Danio rerio: one gene and its partners. The protein of the gene in region 1 purifies or fractionates together with the protein of each later gene. This does not show direct contact. Links are inferred from orthologs where the notes say so. Each region holds a gene or a part of one and is shown in the gene's direction. Other genes may lie near its edges.

Evidence for each region. The genes of interacting proteins can lie anywhere in the genome.
Region 2: the proteins of erlin2 (region 1) and tmem259 purify together in Homo sapiens (affinity purification with mass spectrometry; 3 studies listed by BioGRID and IntAct, with this or other methods). This does not show direct contact. The link is inferred for Danio rerio from reciprocal best matches to the Homo sapiens genes ERLIN2 and TMEM259.
Region 3: the proteins of erlin2 (region 1) and amfrb purify together in Homo sapiens (affinity purification with western blotting; 4 studies listed by BioGRID and IntAct, with this or other methods). This does not show direct contact. The link is inferred for Danio rerio from reciprocal best matches to the Homo sapiens genes ERLIN2 and AMFR.
Region 4: the proteins of erlin2 (region 1) and si:dkey-183n20.15 purify together in Homo sapiens (affinity purification with mass spectrometry; 4 studies listed by BioGRID and IntAct, counting the BioPlex papers as one, with this or other methods). This does not show direct contact. The link is inferred for Danio rerio from reciprocal best matches to the Homo sapiens genes ERLIN2 and RNF170.
Region 5: the proteins of erlin2 (region 1) and insig1 purify together in Homo sapiens (affinity purification with western blotting; 4 studies listed by BioGRID and IntAct, with this or other methods). This does not show direct contact. The link is inferred for Danio rerio from reciprocal best matches to the Homo sapiens genes ERLIN2 and INSIG1.

Annotation. Positions count from the first base shown.
Region 1 is NC_133180.1:36,109,605-36,113,104, forward strand, and holds part of erlin2 (erlin-2), read left to right. Parts: intron 1-536; coding exon 537-616; intron 617-721; coding exon 722-901; 3' UTR 902-3,500. UniProt on the Homo sapiens protein: Component of the ERLIN1/ERLIN2 complex which mediates the endoplasmic reticulum-associated degradation (ERAD) of inositol 1,4,5-trisphosphate receptors (IP3Rs) such as ITPR1.
Region 2 is NC_133186.1:14,596,432-14,600,672, reverse strand, and holds the start of tmem259 (membralin), read left to right. Parts: upstream 1-1,441; 5' UTR 1,442-2,052; exon of another isoform or gene 2,053-2,157; 5' UTR 2,158-2,197; coding exon 2,198-2,419; intron 2,420-4,241. UniProt on the Homo sapiens protein: May have a role in the ERAD pathway required for clearance of misfolded proteins in the endoplasmic reticulum (ER). Promotes survival of motor neurons, probably by protecting against ER stress.
Region 3 is NC_133182.1:35,353,821-35,357,987, forward strand, and holds the start of amfrb (E3 ubiquitin-protein ligase AMFR-like), read left to right. Parts: upstream 1-1,367; 5' UTR 1,368-2,293; coding exon 2,294-2,521; intron 2,522-3,079; coding exon 3,080-3,172; intron 3,173-4,167. UniProt on the Homo sapiens protein: E3 ubiquitin-protein ligase that mediates the polyubiquitination of lysine and cysteine residues on target proteins, such as CD3D, CYP3A4, CFTR, INSIG1, SOAT2/ACAT2 and APOB for proteasomal degradation.
Region 4 is NC_133195.1:28,154,386-28,158,389, reverse strand, and holds the start of si:dkey-183n20.15 (RING-HC_RNF170 domain-containing protein), read left to right. Parts: upstream 1-1,204; 5' UTR 1,205-1,220; coding exon 1,221-1,249; intron 1,250-3,820; coding exon 3,821-3,887; intron 3,888-4,004. UniProt on the Homo sapiens protein: E3 ubiquitin-protein ligase that plays an essential role in stimulus-induced inositol 1,4,5-trisphosphate receptor type 1 (ITPR1) ubiquitination and degradation via the endoplasmic reticulum-associated degradation (ERAD) pathway.
Region 5 is NC_133182.1:41,359,972-41,363,921, reverse strand, and holds the start of insig1 (insulin-induced gene 1 protein), read left to right. Parts: upstream 1-1,150; 5' UTR 1,151-1,309; intron 1,310-1,474; 5' UTR 1,475-1,480; coding exon 1,481-1,814; intron 1,815-2,427; coding exon 2,428-2,552; intron 2,553-3,167; exon of another isoform or gene 3,168-3,351; coding exon 3,352-3,518; exon of another isoform or gene 3,519-3,735; coding exon 3,736-3,835; intron 3,836-3,950. UniProt on the Homo sapiens protein: Oxysterol-binding protein that mediates feedback control of cholesterol synthesis by controlling both endoplasmic reticulum to Golgi transport of SCAP and degradation of HMGCR.

The DNA of each region.
Region 1 (3,500 bases):
GATCGTTTTCATTCTAAAATGCCGTTTTAAAACTAAAACGCACTAGTGTAAACAGGGCCTAAGAGAAGGAAAAAAAACACTCGAGGGCAAGTAAATAATAGTACAGTTTTGGATGAACTATACCTTCACATCAAAATGTAGAAAATTAGCCAAATTAAATGATCATTAGAATGACAGATGATGACTTTCAACATACAAATCTAAATGTTACTGTGGTATCTGTTGTGTTGATTTTGTTCTTTCATTTGTCTTGCTGGATTTATAGACAGTGCATTGCTTGCTGATGCTAAGTAAATTTTCACTTTTGAATAGACTATACCTTTAGAAGCTAGAGGAATTGGATGCACAAGATTTGTGCATGATTTATGAAAAATAAATAAAATAAAGTTCTTTGTTTTATTTTTAAATTGATGGATTGGTTTATATACATAAATGGCACTGACAATCTTTCAACATACAAATCCAAATGCTGCTGTGGTTACTGTTGTGTTGATTTTGCTTTGATTTGCTGATTTTGTTTGATTCCTGTTTTATAGACAGTGCGTACCTCGCTAGGCAGAAAGCAAAAGCAGATGCAGAATTCTACTCAGCGCAGAGAGCAGCGGAGGCCAATAAGGTAAACTGCTGAACTTGAACCCATCATTGTTGTGCTCAGTGTTTAGTGAACATGTTTTCAATCTTCTCTATTTCTCTTTCTTTTTTTTTCTTTCTCTTCTCTTAGCTCAAGCTGACTCCTGAATATCTCCAGCTGATGAAATTTAAGGCAATAGCGGCTAACAGCAAGATTTACTTTGGAAGTGAGATCCCTCACATGTTTATGGACTCTGGGCCAGGAAGCTCCTCCTCAGCTGCTTCCAAAGCCATCGACGTGCTCTCAGAGGGGATGCTGGACTTGGAATGACAACAGACAGAGCAGAAAGTTGTAGCACTGAGAATAAATTAACAGGTAATGAAAGAGACTAATGGCCAGTCATTAGACTACATTGTGCCAGTCGGTGCAGCTGAAACCACTTTCGTAAAGAATTATGATGCTGTATTAGCGGGACAGAAACACTACATGTGCATCTGCACCCCAGTGACTTGATCACAAAGCTGGTTCTTTTGGTTGAACAGACGGTTTTTCTTTCTTTTGAATAGAACATATGTGGACATTTGAATGTGAAATAAATGGATATTTTGTCCAAAAATTAAAATTCTGTCATTTACTCAGCCTCAACTTGTTCCAAACCTTTTATGACAGGGTGTCCGCAAGGTTTAAAAATGTCTTAAATTTCAAAAACTAAATTTTAGGTCTTAAAAAGTCTTAAATTCAGTTAAATATTTTGTTGTAGGTCTTAAATCATAATTTTAATTTTCCTATGTCCAAATAAAGCTGCCCAATCACCAATAATTCTTCTCGAAACTTATATGTATATAGGTTTTTACTGCAAAATGAGTCACAACAACTGTTAAACAGCAACTGTTTACAGCAACTTTTCCTAATTAAATTCCCTAAGCAGAGAAAGAAAACTAAAGCAACACATCCGTTTACATGATCTTCCATTAATACAAGAACTATTCGAAAAACTTCTTAGTGTTTAGCCCTGTGAAAGTCTAAAATGTCATTCATAATGTTTTTAAAAGGGTCTTAAATTTGACTCAAAGAAACCTGCAGAAACCTTGTATAAGTATATTTAGAAGATTTTTAACATCCTGAAGTCATTGGTTTCAGTAGTATTACATTTCTTACTATTGAAGTCAATAACTATTGGTTGCCAACAATTGTCCTTTGTTCAGTGGAAAAAAGAATCTCATAAAGGTTTCGAACCACTTGAGGGTTAGTAAATGCTAAGTACATTTTTATTTTTTGGATTAACTATACCTTAGAAACTAGTGGCATGTATGCACAAGATTTGTGCATGTATTACCATAAATCAGCTTCCTAAAAATATCTCTTTTTTTAACATTGAAGGATTGATTTATGTACTTAAAGGAATAGTTCACCAAAACAAAAAAGCATGTCGTTGTTTACTCACCTTTGTTTTCTTCTGATGAACATAACATTTATTTTGAGGATCTGTAACCAAACCATTGCTGGTCACCATCGACTTTCATAATACTTTTTCTCTAGTACTGGGGACCATCAACCTGTTGGGAACAAGTATTCAGAATTCAAAATATTTTCCTTTGTGTTCAGCAAAAAAAAAAAAAAAAATTAACTAAAGTTTGGAACCACTTAAGGGTGAGTAAATGGTGATTAAATTTCCATTTTTTGTTTGAAGTAAGTATTTAATAAACCAACTAAAAAGCATCTTAAAGGCTCTTACTCCTCAGGGATTCTTTTGTTATGTTGAAATGATTTTTGTTTTCTCATAAAAGACCCAATCCCAATTTATTTTTTAATTTAGTTGTCATTTGTTTTGCATTTTCACAGACTGTACTTGTTTTTTTCTCCATTGTTGGAGCTTAGGTAATTAAAAAAATTACTACACAGAGCAACTAAAGATCTTCCAAGAGGTAAAAGTGAGAAGATGGTTGTATAAACCTCCAGCAAAAATCTCGCATGAAAACAGATTAGCAAGTAGTTTTTATTAAATATAAAACATATTATTATAATTAAGAACTTTGGTGCAGTTTTAGTATTTTGAACTTCTCCATCTTATAGCAATGCACAGTGCACTATATAATGAGATTCTCTTTAATTGGCAGGCATTTTGTGCCTTATTTTAGCACTGATAGAGCAGGGCTGTGAGCTCGTATCCTTTCCAACTCTTCAGTCACTTTCATATTTCAGAGGACTTGAGTGTGGACTGCATCAGAAATGAGTCATTTGACCATTAAAAATCAGCAGTCTGTGGGCTGCTTCTCACCCATGGGAAGATGATTCTGCATTTTAGTTTTTTTTTTTTTTATCTAGTAAGTCATGTTTGGAATTTGTTCCGAGAAATGTTCCATTTCCACCAATATCCCCTCTCCCAGTGTTTCAAATTGTTATGTGTTAAGATCTTGTACAGTATCTTTTACTAGTAAACCATCTGGATCAATAGCTTGCCTCCATTTGTAATCAGAATTTAGTTGTGTTAGTTTACATTTATATGTGAGCAAGACTGCAACTTGAAGGATGAAAAAAGGTTTTCATCGTTATATGTATATAGAATCCAAAAATTGAGCAGCATACCTCATGTCTAAATGCATATATTGATGTCTCTTATGTTACTGTCTTTGAAAGTTGCACAGGATTTAATTTAATAAGGCTTTTTCTGTTTATTTGAACGCACTGGTGTGCAGACAAAGAACTGATTTGTTTTAAACATTGTAGCAGATTGCTTAATACTTCAAGACTCAACAAAACTTCCCAAAGACCTTTACTGTTCATGCCTGGGTTTCACTTTCAGAGTGTTGTCACGTTCACAATCACAAGAGTCTTTATTTGATGTGCATAACTGTACTTTAAATTGACTGTGTATAGGGTTGGTGACTTGTTTATACAGTAAAGATGTTTTTCTTAAGTCTTTGTATCT
Region 2 (4,241 bases), on another chromosome or scaffold:
ATGTGAATGAACAATTCAGTGACAAAGAGAGATTTAGCGCCACCCATTGGACATTTTGATTTCAATGCATTTCAGTCAAAAAATAGCCTACTGTAATATTTTAACACAAAAAATCAAACGTTTGAGAATATGTCTATAAAAAATTCCGCCTTGAAAAATTCAGTTGTCTTACATTTCAATATTCAAGTTAGAAAATTCAAACTAAGAAATTCAAAACAATTTTTAACGGCATATAAAAATTCAGATTTATTAAATTACAATTGTCTAATTCAAATTAACACAATTCAAATTTAGATTGTTTTGCTTATTATTATTTCCATAATACGCACATCAAATGAAAACATGGCAATATTTACAGCTAACAGCTTATCATTTTTCAGTAAAGCAACTCATTCATTCATTTTCTTTTCAGCTTAGTCCCTTTATTAATATGGTGTTTGCCACAGCGGAATGAACCGCCAACTCATTCAGCATATGTTTTACGCAGCGGATGCCCTTCCAGCCGCAACCCATCCCTGGGAAAGTAAAGCTTAAATTCTGATTCAAAATCACAAATAATGACTTGAGGCGACATGGTGGCTCAGTGGTTAGCAGCACTGAGATCTCACAGCAAGAAGTTCACTGGTTCGAGTCCCTGTTGGTTCAGTTGGCATTTGTGTGTGGAGTTTGCATGTTATCCCCGGGTTTCCTTCAGGTGCTCCGGTTTCCGGTTTCAAAGAAGTGGTAGGTATAGGTGAATTGAATGTATGTGTGAATGAGACTGTATGGATGTTCCCCAGTACTGGATGGGTTGGTTGCAGCTGGAAAGATATTCTCTGTGTAGAACATATGCTGGATAAGTTGGCGGTTCATTCCGCTGTGGTGACCGCAGAGAAAATGAATAAAATAATGGCTTGTATTTGAAATTATTTGTACTAAACTTTCCAAACAGAATGAATACATTGAGCAAATATATTTGTAAATTATGTATAGTAAAAATTCAATTAAAACATTTGCAAACAAAGTTGAACTACAAATAATATTGTCTCTAATAAAATAGCAGAAATCTAAACAATCCTCATGAAAAATATGCTTATTTCGTATTTTGAGGTCATCCCCACCGCAATCAAGCGCTATGCATGTTTATCTTTACTTACTTCTACTGCGTGACTTGTACCATAGATGCTGTACTAAATAGCCTTTCCACTCTATTATGACGTGACGCAATAATAAATTAATACGATTTGGAGAAACCAGAAACAACAATAAACGCATGATATTTATGTTATATGTTTATATATTTATTTATTCGTTCATTCATTAATTTTGTTGTTGTGGAATCCTTTAGACTTTTGAGTAAAAAAAACAGATCCCTTGGCCAAATCACGTGACTTACCACGGAAGCAAAACCAGAGTGGAACTGCTTCCCTCATTAAAAGCTTCCTGACTGCTGCTCCCAAGTCCGCTCCGCTTCAGAAAATGGTTGTGTAAACAGATGATTCGTAAAACAGCTTACAGTTGCTGCCATCGGGTGGTTCTGGTGGGACATCATCAAGTATCTGATGTCTTGTTTTATTGAAGAGTGTCAGCGTTATGTGAGAAGGCGTTTGTCAAAAAGTAAACCGAACATACGGGTTCTTCACTGGAAGCTCGGCTAACTTGTTAGCTTGTGACTATTAGCAGACTACGCTATATGTGCTGTTTGAATTTTCATTCATTTTTAAAGTTCAGCTAGACTGTCTAGGTAAGATTTAACTTCCATACAAAATATTGTTATTTAGTCTAGTGTCTGAGGCATTAAATGAACGTGTTTGGTTGGGGTGACAGTGAATGCTGGAGGCCTGAGTCACAATTGCAAGACAAATTGGGTTTAAAACTAAATTTAACAGACTGACATGCACCTCTGGTCTGACAATATTTAAGCTGCATGTGCAGCAAATTTGTAAAAGCTCCAAAACTAGAGTAGTCTGTTAGCTCGCGAGAATATGACATGGTAGGAGTGGAAGGAGCCTTGCCCACCAACATCCCTACAACATTCAGCGTCTCCCGGGCTTTTGGTGCCGATACCTGAAGGTCAGTTCACCTTTTGAGAACCAGACCCATCATTAGTGTGAGCTGATGTTGTGTGCTCGGCCTGTTCATCTGGATCTTATCACATAGCTTTCTCCCTGACCTTAGTTGGTCCTTCTCCTTATCAAGTTACTGAACAATCATCACCATGTCTGACAACCAAGGCAATGTGAACAACAACAACGTTCCACTGAACAACAATAATAATGGTGGGCCAAACCGGATTCGTAACCCCCCAATGAACCAGAACCCCTTGATTAACGTGAGAGACAGACTCTTCCACGCATTATTCTTTAAGATGGCAGTCACATACGCCAGACTATTCCCACCATCTTTCAGACGAATATTTGAGTTCCTGGTCTTGTTAAAGGTGAGATTTTACATTTTCACTGAGTGTGTTGATCCTTCTTGAAATTTCTTTATTTTTTTAACCCTTCTTGTGTGCTGTTGGGCTGTTTTATCCTCTCTGGGGTGATTGTGAATGTTAATTAGACCACAACGTTCTCTTTGTTTCAGCAAATGGAATGATTTTTTGAGAAAATGCTTTTTAAACATTCTTTTTTAAACAAAAAAGAAGAGTTTGTTTTTTAAACAAACTCTTCTTAACAGATAAAACCATCAACAACCAAGAATGCATGATTATATGGTGTCATGGCTTTGTAATCAAAATGTCATTATAATGCAAGTCAATAGGGCAAAAGTAGCCTTGAATATAATGAAAGGGTTGGTAAATTTAAACTGTACACAAGGGTTGTATGCGTAGTTGTTTTCAACTGATGAGATGCAGTGACATGCTAAATAAACATCAGGATGGATATTACTAACCCATGGACTGACCTCTACATATATTGTACTATATTATTTCTCCTATAATTTTATATGCGAACAAAATTAACCAAATTAGCTCTCTTAAGCTCTGCGTACCTGGTACCGTGTCCGTGACATCATTTATTTCCGCATTCTTTATTTTTTAAAGGGCCGTACTGGCCCAATACCCCCAGAAGTGGTTCCGTTCTCCCATCAGTTGGAATAGAATAACTTTTACATAGATTATGATAGAGACATTTTTTCTGATTACTGACATGTGCAGGAACCACCAAAATTAATTACAGCAACCTAGACCACACAGAACCTAAGACTAAGTGGTACGGTTCAGTTCAGTACGCTTTTATGGCCGTTTCCACTGAATAGGTACCTAAAAGCAAACAATACCTTACCACTTTTTGGGGACTCTTTGCAAAGGGTACCTAGCATGGCAAAAAAAAGTACCAAAAGGTGAAGCAAGACATGCAGCTGAACGCTACTGATTTACAGAAAAGCGTCACTCGATCATAAGCAGAAGAATGAAAACAAAGACATTTTTAAATACACAGCCGAGACATTACATTGTAATACTATAATATATGCATATAATAATGTGCCATGGTTGACCCGAGCTCAGACAAACCTTGTTGTTGACTTGATGTACAGCCACAAAGCCAAGAAGGACAAAATCTGCCGTATCCTGTTTTTGTTTAATGCGAGAGTGAAGTGCGAAAAAACAAAGGATAAGGCCAAAAAACGAAAGAGCGAATCATTCTTTCACCAATTTAAAACATGAACAAACTGGCAGGTATAACCATTACCAGGTATAACTAAAACTTGCCTTGCCTATTATCATCACCTTTAGGACTATTATGAACTTCGAATGACGAAATTATTTTCTAACAGGAGGTCACATGTGCTGGTGAAGATTAAAGTTACAGATGGGAAATTTGCTCTGACTGTGGGCTACATGCTGCGTTTTTTAATTATTTTCAATAATTAAAAACTGACAACCGCAGTAATCAAACTCTTGGGAAAAACTGTGGACGGAACCAAAGTTCACTGGTCTGTGTTTTCTGAACTCCTCTTAAGCGGTGGACTACTTCATTCTGATTGCTTGCCGCCGAACCGCGTCATAGCTCATATCATATCGTTGACTTGATCTCAACTCTCCTCTATGCCCACACAGGAGAAGACACGCCGCGCTGTTCCTCGCCGCCGGTCCTCATTATAAATGAATTACTTCTGGCTACTTTGACGCACTCGCTGCTTTCGGTTAGCGATCGCTCCTCAGTTTGTGAAGGTTTCCCCGCGTTGTCGCTCCACCTCGCCCCCTTTCCCGCTCCTCAGCTTGTGATCGCTCCTCAGTTTATGAAGGCTTCCCCGCG
Region 3 (4,167 bases), on another chromosome or scaffold:
ATAACTTCAAGTGTTTATGCGAGACACTACACACAAAAAAGAAAAAAAAGAAAAAAACTTTTTGATAAAGAATTTATATTCATTTTTTTTCAAGTCTGACAAAGGTCCAATATTTGTCCCCTCATTTGTCCTGTTTTGACTGTTATGCCATTACAAGTTATCAAAATAACCCATTGAAAATACAGAGACCCAGAGAAAACATTTTTAATGTAACTTTTATTCTAATTCTTGGACCTAATTCCTGAAAGAAAAAATGACTAATAAAAAGTTGTGAAGCACCAAAATGGCCCATATTAATACATATTTGGCTATTGTTGTTATCCATGAATTTTCAAATGTACTTTTTTTTTTTTTTTTTACAAGAGAAGCTAGAAAAATGGTGAAGCTTTACATTATCATTATGTTTATTTATTTATTTATTTTGTAATTCGAATGGTCAAATTCTGAGACTGAGAAAAGTTGAATGTGCTGGTCAGTTTGTCGTTTGACTAAAATGAAAATAGGCCACAGTTTTAAATGTAAAATTTAAACAGACTGCTATTTCCCCCCTAGTGCTGTATTATAAAGTAGCTTAAAAATAATAGCCTCGACATAATTCTTTATTACAAATCTTTAGAAAACCTTTTTAGTGTACATGAAAAAGTGTGACCATCCGACAAGCTAATCCAAAAAAAAAATGTATTTAAAATGTCACTAAAATGCAGTATTTAAATCTCCTAATTAAATAGAATATTAGTCGAACAACTGCAAAAAGGTCCACTATATGAGAAAAAAGAACGACCCCTTTCACTAGGCTGACTATAAGCCTGATAATGTAAAGAAAACACCAAAAACATACTTTTAAGTGCTGCTCTTTTCAAGTGTTGCAGTTTGATCAATTTAGGCCTGTAGATTCCCATTACAGTGTTTAAAAAAAAAGGTTTTGCAGTTGTGTAGCCAATTAAAGTTACATTGTGGCTATAGACATTTACAGCCCATTTTATATTCTATTGCATTGAGAATTTGTGATCATTATTTGATTGCATCATGTTCAGCTCTCTTAGACACTGTAAAGTGTTAATATAAAATTGATATAATAAGCTACAATTATATATAAAAAATAAGAAATAGAATAAAATATAGAATATAGTCTATAAATAAATTAATCAAAAATAAAATAATAAATCGCTACTGTGTAATTTACAACCAGACATTTTAAAATATTTTAGATACATGTTATTTGGAATTGTAATACAATTTTAATACATCTCTGAGAATAGTCATCCACTTAACCCATGCCCAAATTAGAGCCTATGGGCAAGGTTTATTGCTGAGCTACAAAAAAAAGAAAAAAAAAGAAACTGAATTAAATGCTTTAATTAAATGTTGTAAATAAATCTGATTTTCAAACTGTGAATACTGTTTGTTTTTGTTTTTATTCTAAGTTTATTGTAGAATGTAATATATATGTATACTCTCTCTCTCTCTCTCTCTCTCTCTCTCTCTCTCTTTATATATATATATATATATATATATATATATATATATATATATATAAAGCAATGTTTTCTCATTATTTTTAAATATTATCAATTATCAAATAAATTAGGAAATTACCCATTGGCTACTATATTTACCGTCGGCCGGTAGCCTCAATCAAGTTTGGTTTTTGGCCTTTCATAAGAAAAGGTATGGGCATCTCTGCTCTAGAAACACGGGACTAGATCCCCTCTTAGCTTTTGTGTCTTGCACATGTAAATGCTGAACATGCTATGAACGATTTATAGCACTTAACAAATATGGCAATGTTGAGACATTCTCATAACAAGTCAGACAACTTTCAACGAGTCTCATTGTTGACTCAATTGCACCACCTTGTGGCGTTTTGTAGAACAGATCTCTAAATTATACAAATTCAGTAAATGTTAACGTACTTCTCAATTTTTAAGAGAATACCCAGAAGTTGATTTACTGTTTGCATTTAATATAAATAACGCTGATTTAAAAAAAAGAAACCAGAGTTGAAAGAAATCTGAAATTTTAATTTTTTTTCAAGTTCAATATAAAAATACATTCCCATGTATCCTTAATTTTCATAAAATAACGCCATTTCAGTTGATTTTAATGAGTATGTTCGACATCTGTTTTGGAGGTAAATCAGTCTTGTTTACGCCCTCTTCAGTGACACCGCTAAGGCTCGCCTTGAAGTAAAAGATTAGTTTCTGCAGTGCTAAAACGATTGAAATTAAATATTAACGTCTTCAAGTATCTGATAGATTTGATAAGTTATATAGACAGAAAAAAAAACACAGTTATGGATGTGTTGTCCTGGCCTTGCACTCAGGCGTACACAGCGTTCAGTGCATGTTTACTGACAGGATGCATCTACTCGTTGTACGATGACGAGGACAAAGATTTGCTTATTGAGAAAAATCTCTCTCAGGACTCACCCTCCGGCAGGACAGACGATGACAATGTCAACAACGAAGAATTATATTCAACTGGTTTGTGGTGTCACACTACAGGGAGCTTATGCATGTGGGTAAGTGGTCCAATTCTTACATGAGCCAGGAGTAGCATAAGTTATATGGGTCAGTGAGTCAACACGTGGACCTACAGTATATTATGCCTAAAATATACTGGTAAAATGACTAAAACTCGGTTTTAATTCAGTTTTAATTCTGTTTGTTCTTGCAATAATTACATTCATTAATTTCTTTATTTATTTGCATAAATGAAGTCTTAATAGCAATGTTAAAAATCAATGTTTGCTATTTCTTTTAAATAAAATTAATGTTTGTTGCCTCTAAATTTTAATTAACAAGTCTTTTTTCTATGACAATTTGTAATATTTTAGAGTATATCAATTGAGATAATTCAACTTTTCAATTTGCAAGGGAAATTTCTGAAGGGAACATCGATTTACATTTTAAGCATGACTTTTTTCACATTTTTTCTTTATAAATGGAATAAATGGTGAGATTAAATGTCCAAGAATGTGGCACCTGTACTGAAATCTAGATTTGATACAGTATATTCCTCTTATATGAAATAAGTGCCGCTACTGTAGTAATAGCCAATATTGCTTTATTCTCTTCAGGTCCTTGTGAATACACTGTGCTGTTTTCTCCTGCTTATGGGAAAATGTATCCAACTTGTTGTGTTTGGTGATCTCAGAATCAATGAAAAGCAGGTAAAATCCATGCAACGAACATCAACGACATAAACAGGTCCGTAGCCATCCTGGTGAAAGGGGTATTTCTTTTTTCTCAAAAAGTATATCTTTTTGCAATTATTTATGATTAAATACTGCATTATAGTGAAATTTTAAGCACTATTTTTATCTGGATTACCCTGTCGTCAAAACCACACTTTTTGATGTACCAAAAATATTTCCTAAATATTTGGAATAAAGATTTTTTTTATTAAATACAAATTTATCACTTATACATCGTTAGAAAAACAGGCAATGCAGTGGTGCTTTGGGAAGCACGTTTGCCTCATAGCAAGAAGGTCACTGGTTCGAGCCTCGGCTGGGTCAGTTGGCGTTTCTGTGTGGTGTCCTCCCCGTGTTCGTGTGGGATTCCTCCGGGTGCTCTGATTTCCCTCACAAGTCCAGGGACATGTGGTATAGGGGAATTGGTTAGGCTAAATTGTCAGTAGTGTATGTGTGTGAATGAGTGTGTATGGATGTTTCCTAGCTGGAAGGGCATCCGCTGCTTAAACCATGTGCTGGATAAGTTGGTGGTTCATTCCACTGTGGTGACCCTGGATTAATAAAGGGACTAAGCTGAAAAGAAAATTAATAAGTATATCAATAGAAAAATAATAAGCATCTGTTAAAGTTTAAAATTAAAAACTGTTGTCTGTTGTCATTTGTTCGCCAAATAACAAGCTGGCATGCACATTCAACTTTTCTCAGTCAAAATTAGGCCCTTTGAATAATAAAAAAGTTCAAACATTTTAATAATGTAGAGCATTACAATAATAGCCAAGATTAGATCAGATTAGATGTTTTCTTGCACAGATGAATGTTGGACTCAGCATGAAAAATAATTATTTACATTGGCCAGACGATTCTGCTTGGTCTTAAAGCCTTTTTCAATGTGTTTCTTTTTTTTTTTTTGCAAAATTGATGAAGGCATAGCAATCAATATACTACAAATGAGCTCATGTATGACACAAATT
Region 4 (4,004 bases), on another chromosome or scaffold:
ACCTCAGATTTAATTATTAATCGTCAAAAGTGTTCTCAACTTGAGATTCAAGAACACATTAAGCCTTGATAAAGCCATAAAATGATTACCACGGCAAAACTCGACACCCAGAGAAGCTGAGGCAAGCCTCCAAAACAGGTGGCACAACTTCTTTCAATCAAGACCTTATGGATGCTAAAACAGCCTTAAATGCCCCAGTTAATCAAAAATTCGATGCTTTTACACAAACTAAAAAATGCTTAGTTACAATTTTTTTAACATTTTGAAAAAGATATCATTAGTAGTATGCAGATCAAAACAACAATTAAGTTTTAGTTGCATATATTTAACTCATAAATCCAGAAATACTAAGAACAATGTAAAAAATGCAAGGTTTCGCACAATTCCTTCATGTTGTCTCAACACAAATGGCCTAGGTTAACTGCTTTTTACAAATTTAAGTGGATTGAACATAAAACAATTACGCTGTCAAACAATACTCAATTGTTATTGATTTAGCTTGTTTTAAATAAGTAGAACACTTTTATTTTATTTTATTAAATGACCCAAGTGGTTACTTAATTTGTTTTCTATGCCTACATGTAACAGATGTACTCAATAATGATAAACAAAAACCTTCCTAATAAACTTAAACTTGCTGCTCTCTGATTATTTAATCTTCTTTTATGCTCATTTGTAATTCACAAGTGTCTGCTAAATTATTAAATGTATGTAAGAAGGTGTATAGTATTAAAGCAGCTTTAGCTTTATTTTAACTTAATGATCATCTCAGTGAAATGCATTTCTTTGGTAATCCATATGGGACAGCATCTTAGATTGTGTAAACTTAGGGTAAACCATTGACAGGTCAACCAGACACCTAACCTACTTAAAGTAGGTGGAGACTCTCAATCTGTGTCTATAGTGGTCACATGACAAAAATACAACATTGAGGACGAACCCTAGCTTTATTACGCACATATGATCTAAATCAATACATATTTACATGCACGGCTAAATTATAGAGGGCAGTAAGATTGCAAGTATCTTTCCTAAATTACGAAAATATACAGGAAATCGGTGTAGTTACCTAATCTCTGAAAAAAGGGGCTGATTTGGGACCGAATCCCTGGTTAATGATTAACCGTCTGTCAAATTTACTGTGTACAGGGAAGCAGTGAGAAAGTATTCCAGTCAGTGCCGTCCACCAGAGAAAAGCAACTGAATTACGAACAGAAAACATGCACACTAATCATAGCTACAGCAACAGGTGAGTCTTTATTTTATTTAACGCACATACAGTGCTCAGCATATATAAGTACACCTCTCACAAATCTGTCTTTTAAGTTCATATTTTTAATAGGAAGCTATACAATATTATATTTGTGCATATACATTAGATTAGTCAGTACTGAAGCCAAATCTGGAGCTTATCTAACAAAATAACTTATGATAGTAGTTAACTAGCACACCCAAATATATATGTTCTAGAAAAATATTAAATACAAATTTAAAAAAAGAGGAAAAACCAAGAGAAGCAAAAATATAGAAAATTTCAGTTAAATTTTTTGTAGGTTGTTATATTTTTTGTGCAATATTTTTGAATTTAATTAAATTAACTTTTAATTTCTAAATATGTTTGGTGACTACAATATTATTTTAATAAATATAAGACCTGTTTAATAAATTAGTTTTGTTTAAATGCAACAAAATACATTGACTATATTCACTTAGAATTGGAGAAAAATATTTATTTTCGAAACAGGGTGTACTCAATTATGCTGAGCACTGTATCTGTGCCCATTCATCTTTTCAGAAACCTTTTTTTACAGTGTAATTGAAGTGTTAGAATGTCCCTTTTTACATTTTTATCATGATTTATTTAAATCTGTCATGGAATGTAATCCAGTGTAACTACAGTTTAGATTAAATAAAAGCATGTCAGACATATATAGAGCAAGAATCTTTAGAAAATATATTAAAAAGCTATTTAGAGTTGTTCTGTCATCTTTACTCATCCTCAATCAAGTGGTTCCACATGTTTGACTTTTTCCACAAATGTAGGTATTTTGAAAAACGTTGAAAACCAGTAACCATTGATTATAACATACATAGATTATTCTTTATCTATAGATTTTTTCTAAATATTATACTTGTGGTAAACAGAAGAATACAAAAATGTTTGGAACCGCTTACAGAGATCAAATTTTCAATTTTGGTTGAACTATCCCTCTAAGCCAGTGTTTCTCAACCATGTTCCACCAGCACTGCACATTTTCCAAGTCTCCTTAATCAAACACAGCAGATTTAAATCATCAGCTCATTAGCAGAGACTGTAAGACCTGTAATAAAGGTGTGAAAAACAAAGGAGACATCCAAAACATGCAGTGTTGGTGGTCCTCCAGGAACGTGGTTGAGAAATACTGTTTTAAGCCATTAGATACTAATTGTTATTTTAAATCGTTATTCTTTGCCACTATGCCACATTTTAAAATGTATTTAGCTTTTTATTTGATCTAAACCTTAAACCGTTTGTCCATATTTGACCCAAATATTATTTGAAACAATCCAACACTGTGTTATAATGCATTTGTCAGCAAGACATTCAATTTAAATGTAATCAAATGTAGTACGACTGTTTATTTTGTTATATAATTGAGCAAGTACTGGCCAGAAATTAGTAAGTTGCACTTTATGTGTTATACTTAGGGAACATCATTTTCTACATTTCTACTTATTTCTTTCTACATGTACACATGTGTTATGATGAAGTGTTGTGTCCTGAGACTGCAGGTCATTTGTGTTATGGTATGTTGAAGCAATAAAATACACCGCACAGACAAACTGCCACATGACATCACAGAGTTCAACACGCTCTTCAGAACCATAATGTTACTTTATTTTAAACTCTAACACCTCTCAAATTCCCAGACAGTTATATCAGGATATCTTGAATGCAGGATTTCTAGATTTAATTGTTGCTACTTTATTACATTTATTTCTAAATACTGATAAGGTTCCGTGTGGTGTTGTGTTATCTTGGTAGACGTGCACCTAGTCATACTATCCTGACTAATCACTGAATACAAGTTGAGCAAATAATCATTCATTCATTTTCTTTTCGGCTTAGTCCCTTTATTAATCAGGCGTCGTCACAGTGGAATGAACTGCCAACTTATCCAGTATATGTTTTACACAGCAGATGCCCTTTCAGCTGCAACCCAATACTGGGAAACATCCATACACTCTTGCATTGACACACAACACTATGGAGAAAACCCACACCAACATGTTGAGAACATGCAAACTTCACACAGAAAAAAATAAGTAGATTTTTTTAAATACGTAGAACATTTTCTTATTTTATTAAGTGACCCAAGTGGTTACTTCATTTGTTTTCTATGCCTTCATGTAACATATGTACTCAATAATAATAAAAAGCTTCCTAATAAACTTAAACTTGCGGCTCTGTGATGATTTGATCTTCTCTTATCCTCATTTGTAATTCACAAGTGTCTGCTAAATTATTAAATCTATGTAATAAGGTGTTTAGTATTAAATGCCAGAAATCCCAACTGAACCAGCCGGGGCTAGAACCAGCGAACTTCTTGCTGTGAGGCGATTGTGCTACCCACTGCACCACCATGACACCAGTGAAGCAAATATTATAGGATAAATTCGGTTTTAGTTTATTGATGATTGCCTAGATTTTCACTCTAATTCAGGGATGCACCTTTAATTACTATGAGCTCAGTCCTTCATTCTTATATGAGGTTTCTTAGTTTGGTACAGTAGGCGAACATAAGCTGTATATTAATGTCATCATCTCTCTCTGTTGAAGGTCCTCGCTATTACCAAAGATAAGGAGTCAAGGTTGTCCACACAATGCTCACGTGAACAACAGAGAGGTAAAAATGCGCACACACATACTCATACACACACTTTTCTTTTTGTGTATTGTGAGGACGTACCATAGGTTTCTATTGATTTAATACTATATAAACTATATTTTCTATGGGGAAACC
Region 5 (3,950 bases), on another chromosome or scaffold:
AAATATTGCAAAACCCACCAATTTTCACTTTTTTGTGAAATATATGTGTCCTAATAGTGTTTTAGCAACGTGAGTCATATTTATGATTGTCAACATCTCAAAAAAATGTGTTTTGGTGTTTCGTGACTCGTTAACATCCACAGCACGTTTCCATTGCACATAAGTTTCTCTGTTGAAAAAAGGTTCATTAATGTGTTTAGGATGTCTTTCACACCAATAAAATAATGCTTCTTTTCTGAACTTTCATCAACACAAAAGCTTTTTAGATATCAAAAATGGTTATTTTCTAGCACTGCAACGAAAAGCCCATTTTGGAACCTTTATTGTAAAAACAGCAGCTAAAGAGTTGTTGACAGTCATTCTTGACAAGGGGCAAACATCAGACTCATTTATCTGGTGAGGAGTGGTTCCACTGAGGTAAGAGACTGAACTCTGTTCTGCTCTGAATCAATAAACTATAAGTACACAAGTTTATTTACAGTGGGGGAACAGCCCACTGAGCATCATGACCTGATTTCTTGTTTTCAGTCTCACGGACACGTACTGCACGCTGTCACGTATAGCCAACAAATCCGCATTATCTCATACACTTTCAGGGCCTGTTCACTCATAGTGAACTAAAAAAAAGTTCATATCAGCAAAAAGCTTTCTTGTCTGTACCCTGAAAAGATTACAAATACATTTACCCAACAAGTAGTTTGTTTTGTGCAAACAGGAGAACAGCAATATTGAACACTGAGAAAATCTCGAATCAGTGCTGTATTGCTTAGTTACTGAAAAGGATTTAGCAAAGCAAGGTCATTAAACTTAACCAATCTAGAAGTTTAAGACTTTTCTGCATGACTCTGGCATAGCGTCAACACACACACACACACACACACACACACACACACACACACACACACACACACACACACACACACACACACGCACACGCACACACGCACACGCACACACGCACACGCACACACACACACACACACACACACACAAGGCGAACAGCTGATGGCGAACATCAACAGCGCGTGTCTGTCAGAGAGGGGTGGCGCGCGTTCGCGTCATATGGCCCGCCGCACTCTGATTGGCTAGAGAGACTCACCAGACATGACCGCGCTTGTTTTCTGCAGAGGAAGCGCGCGTGTGGCAGTGTTCAACTGAGGGATGAAAAGAGGCAGCAGTATTTCTCTTACAGATGATGTGATCAAACAACACATCTAAACTATTTGTAGGTAGCCTTTCGTTTTTGTAAAAGAGTTTTGAAAGCACAGACGTGTTCTGCTTTAGACGAAGACATCGCTAAAAGATCAAGGTGGGTAGCCTATTCATTCCCTTTACTTCCACTTCATACTCATTGGGAACAGATTGTTTTTTGGGCTACAGCACTGCTTTTTGTAGCGTAATACTTGACTTTCAACATTATTTTATTTGATCAAGTTAGTGATAATTATTAATGAGTATTACTGTTTTCCAACAGTGCCAAATGCCAAGACTAGAGGAACATTGTTGGAGCTGCTCCTGTTCGACCAGTGTGAAGACGAAGGACCTGTCAAGCGCCGGCTGGATTGTCTGTAAAACGGGTGAAATGATGTCCATCATAACCTCAGTGCTGAGCCACGCGTACGGCTCTCTGCACAGCCTCCAGTCCGCCAATTTAATTCGACGGGGGCTTGTGTTGTTTATCGTGGGAGTTGTGCTCGCTTTGGTGTTAAACTTGCTACAGATCCAGAGAAACGTTACATTGTTTCCAGAGGAAGTGCTGGACACGCTATTTTCGTCCGCCTGGTGGATTCCCCTCTGCTGTGGCACCGCTGCTGGTGAGTCTGTCTGAAACACTTGGGCTCGAATGCTTTGTTCGTGACGATAACAAACAAAGACGGTGTGCTTGCTGAGGGCTTTTTGTTATCGTGTCTTTTATGTAAGATGAGTGATTCGGGGACAGTTTTGTTGACATTGGGCTTTGTAGCTATCAGTAAGCGCTGCCCTGGTAACAGCCGGGCATTTGGGGTCATTCTTGGGGTGCTGCATTCTCATTGGCTGCGCTCAGAACGGGTGAGCTGCGAGAGAGGCACGCCATTGGCTGGTACGCCGAACATGCCACTTACCCGAAAAGAGAAACACGGAAGTCGTGTGCAGCAGAAATTAATAAATAATTCGGTCACGCTCGACTCCTCCCCCTGCATTCCTCATAGTGGTGATGTGGACGCGTATCAGTTTACATCCTTTTCAGTAGAAAATGCCTTTTAAAGAGTTTTGTTGTACTTGAACTCTTCTTATGAGATTTATTTAAACACAAAAGTCATCACCCATTATTTATATACTAAAAGGCGTCAAACAATACCAAGCAGATGTAAAAAATGTTTTTTTCTTCTTCTTTTTTCCCCCTTTCAATGAATGTTGTTTAAAGTACTTTCTGTTTTCTCTTCTCAGCTGTGGTTGGTCTGTTGTACCCCTGCTTGGACCACCATCTTGGAGAACCACACAAGTTCAAGCGGGAGTGGGCAAGCGTGATGCGCTGCATTGCTGTCTTTGTGGGCATCAATCACGCCAGTGCTGTATCCTTAACAGTGACACTTTTACAGTTGCAACCATTGTGGACAATGAAAACTTCCAAACCTTTTTGAGATTTTTGTTTTAAGTCTGTAATAAGCCATGTTACTATTCAATAGCATTAGACAAATCCTTTTTTTTCTTAATCTCTTAACTGTCACATATTTATTTGTTTTTGTCTGAACCTGAATTTATCTTGACAAATTATACATCAAAGGCTAAACTAAAAAAGTGGGGTGACCCGTTAAAGTACTAAACATATTTACACAGCAATAATCTATGCAACGAGAATTATGCTTATCTAATATTTTTAAAAAGTCTTATGTATTGAGGATAGTTGTAATAACGCTGAAAAATGACTAGAAATGCTCAGTACTCTGACCCGGCCAGAAGTTGAAAACTCTGCACACGATATCATTTAACCTTTTTTAAGTTTTGTTTTGACGACTCTGAGTCTGTGTTTTTGGGTAAATGAACAGCAAAAATGCATAAAAGTTTTTATTTTTTGTTGTCATGTAAATATACCTTAAAACTTTACATTAACTCTGAACTCAAACAGTAACATGCACTTCATTGCCAAGAAACCCCATGTAAATGAGAACTGGGTTTTTTAAGAACTAAAAAAAAAAGTTTTTAATAAATTTGACTACAAAGTTTTTGTGGAACCTGTTTACTGCTCTCCAAATGTGTGGACCAGCAAAAACTTGGGAACCTGCACAAACTCAATTCTTGAGTTAACATCACAATGTTTTCAAAATGTATGTTAACATAAGAATATTTTGCTTAACTCAAAGTACCTTACAGAAACTGGACTTTGCTAACAATGTGCAGCTATCGCTAACTCTGGCTGCCCTGTCTCTGGGTCTGTGGTGGACATTTGACCGCTCCAGGAGTGGCTTTGGTTTAGGGCTGACCACTGCCCTGCTGGCCACTCTCATTGCTCAGCTGCTGGTCTACAACGGCATCTACCAGTAAGTTATGACTCAAACATGTTGACAAACAGCAACAGAAAACTGTTTTCATATCAACTAGCAAGTAACTAACACTCTCACATATTCATAATTTTAGTCGTAGAACATGTTTTTTTTGTAAGAAACATTAGCAAATATTATATCAAGTGCAAACACTCAGTTTTGTTTTTCCTTTAAGCAGCTCGTCATTTCAGTCCTTTTCTTCATTTGTTACCAGGTATACTTCTCCAGACTTCTTGTATGTCCGTTCATGGCTGCCTTGTATATTCTTCTCTGGCGGAGTGACTGTTGGAAATATTGGCAGACAACTAGCTATGGTAAGAAACTGCCCCTCATACCAGCCCCCTTTTCCAGTCTTTCATATTCCACAGAATAACTGATGTACTTGATTACTCATGTATTGTGGTTAGTTTCCTCTTGTGTTATGCACAA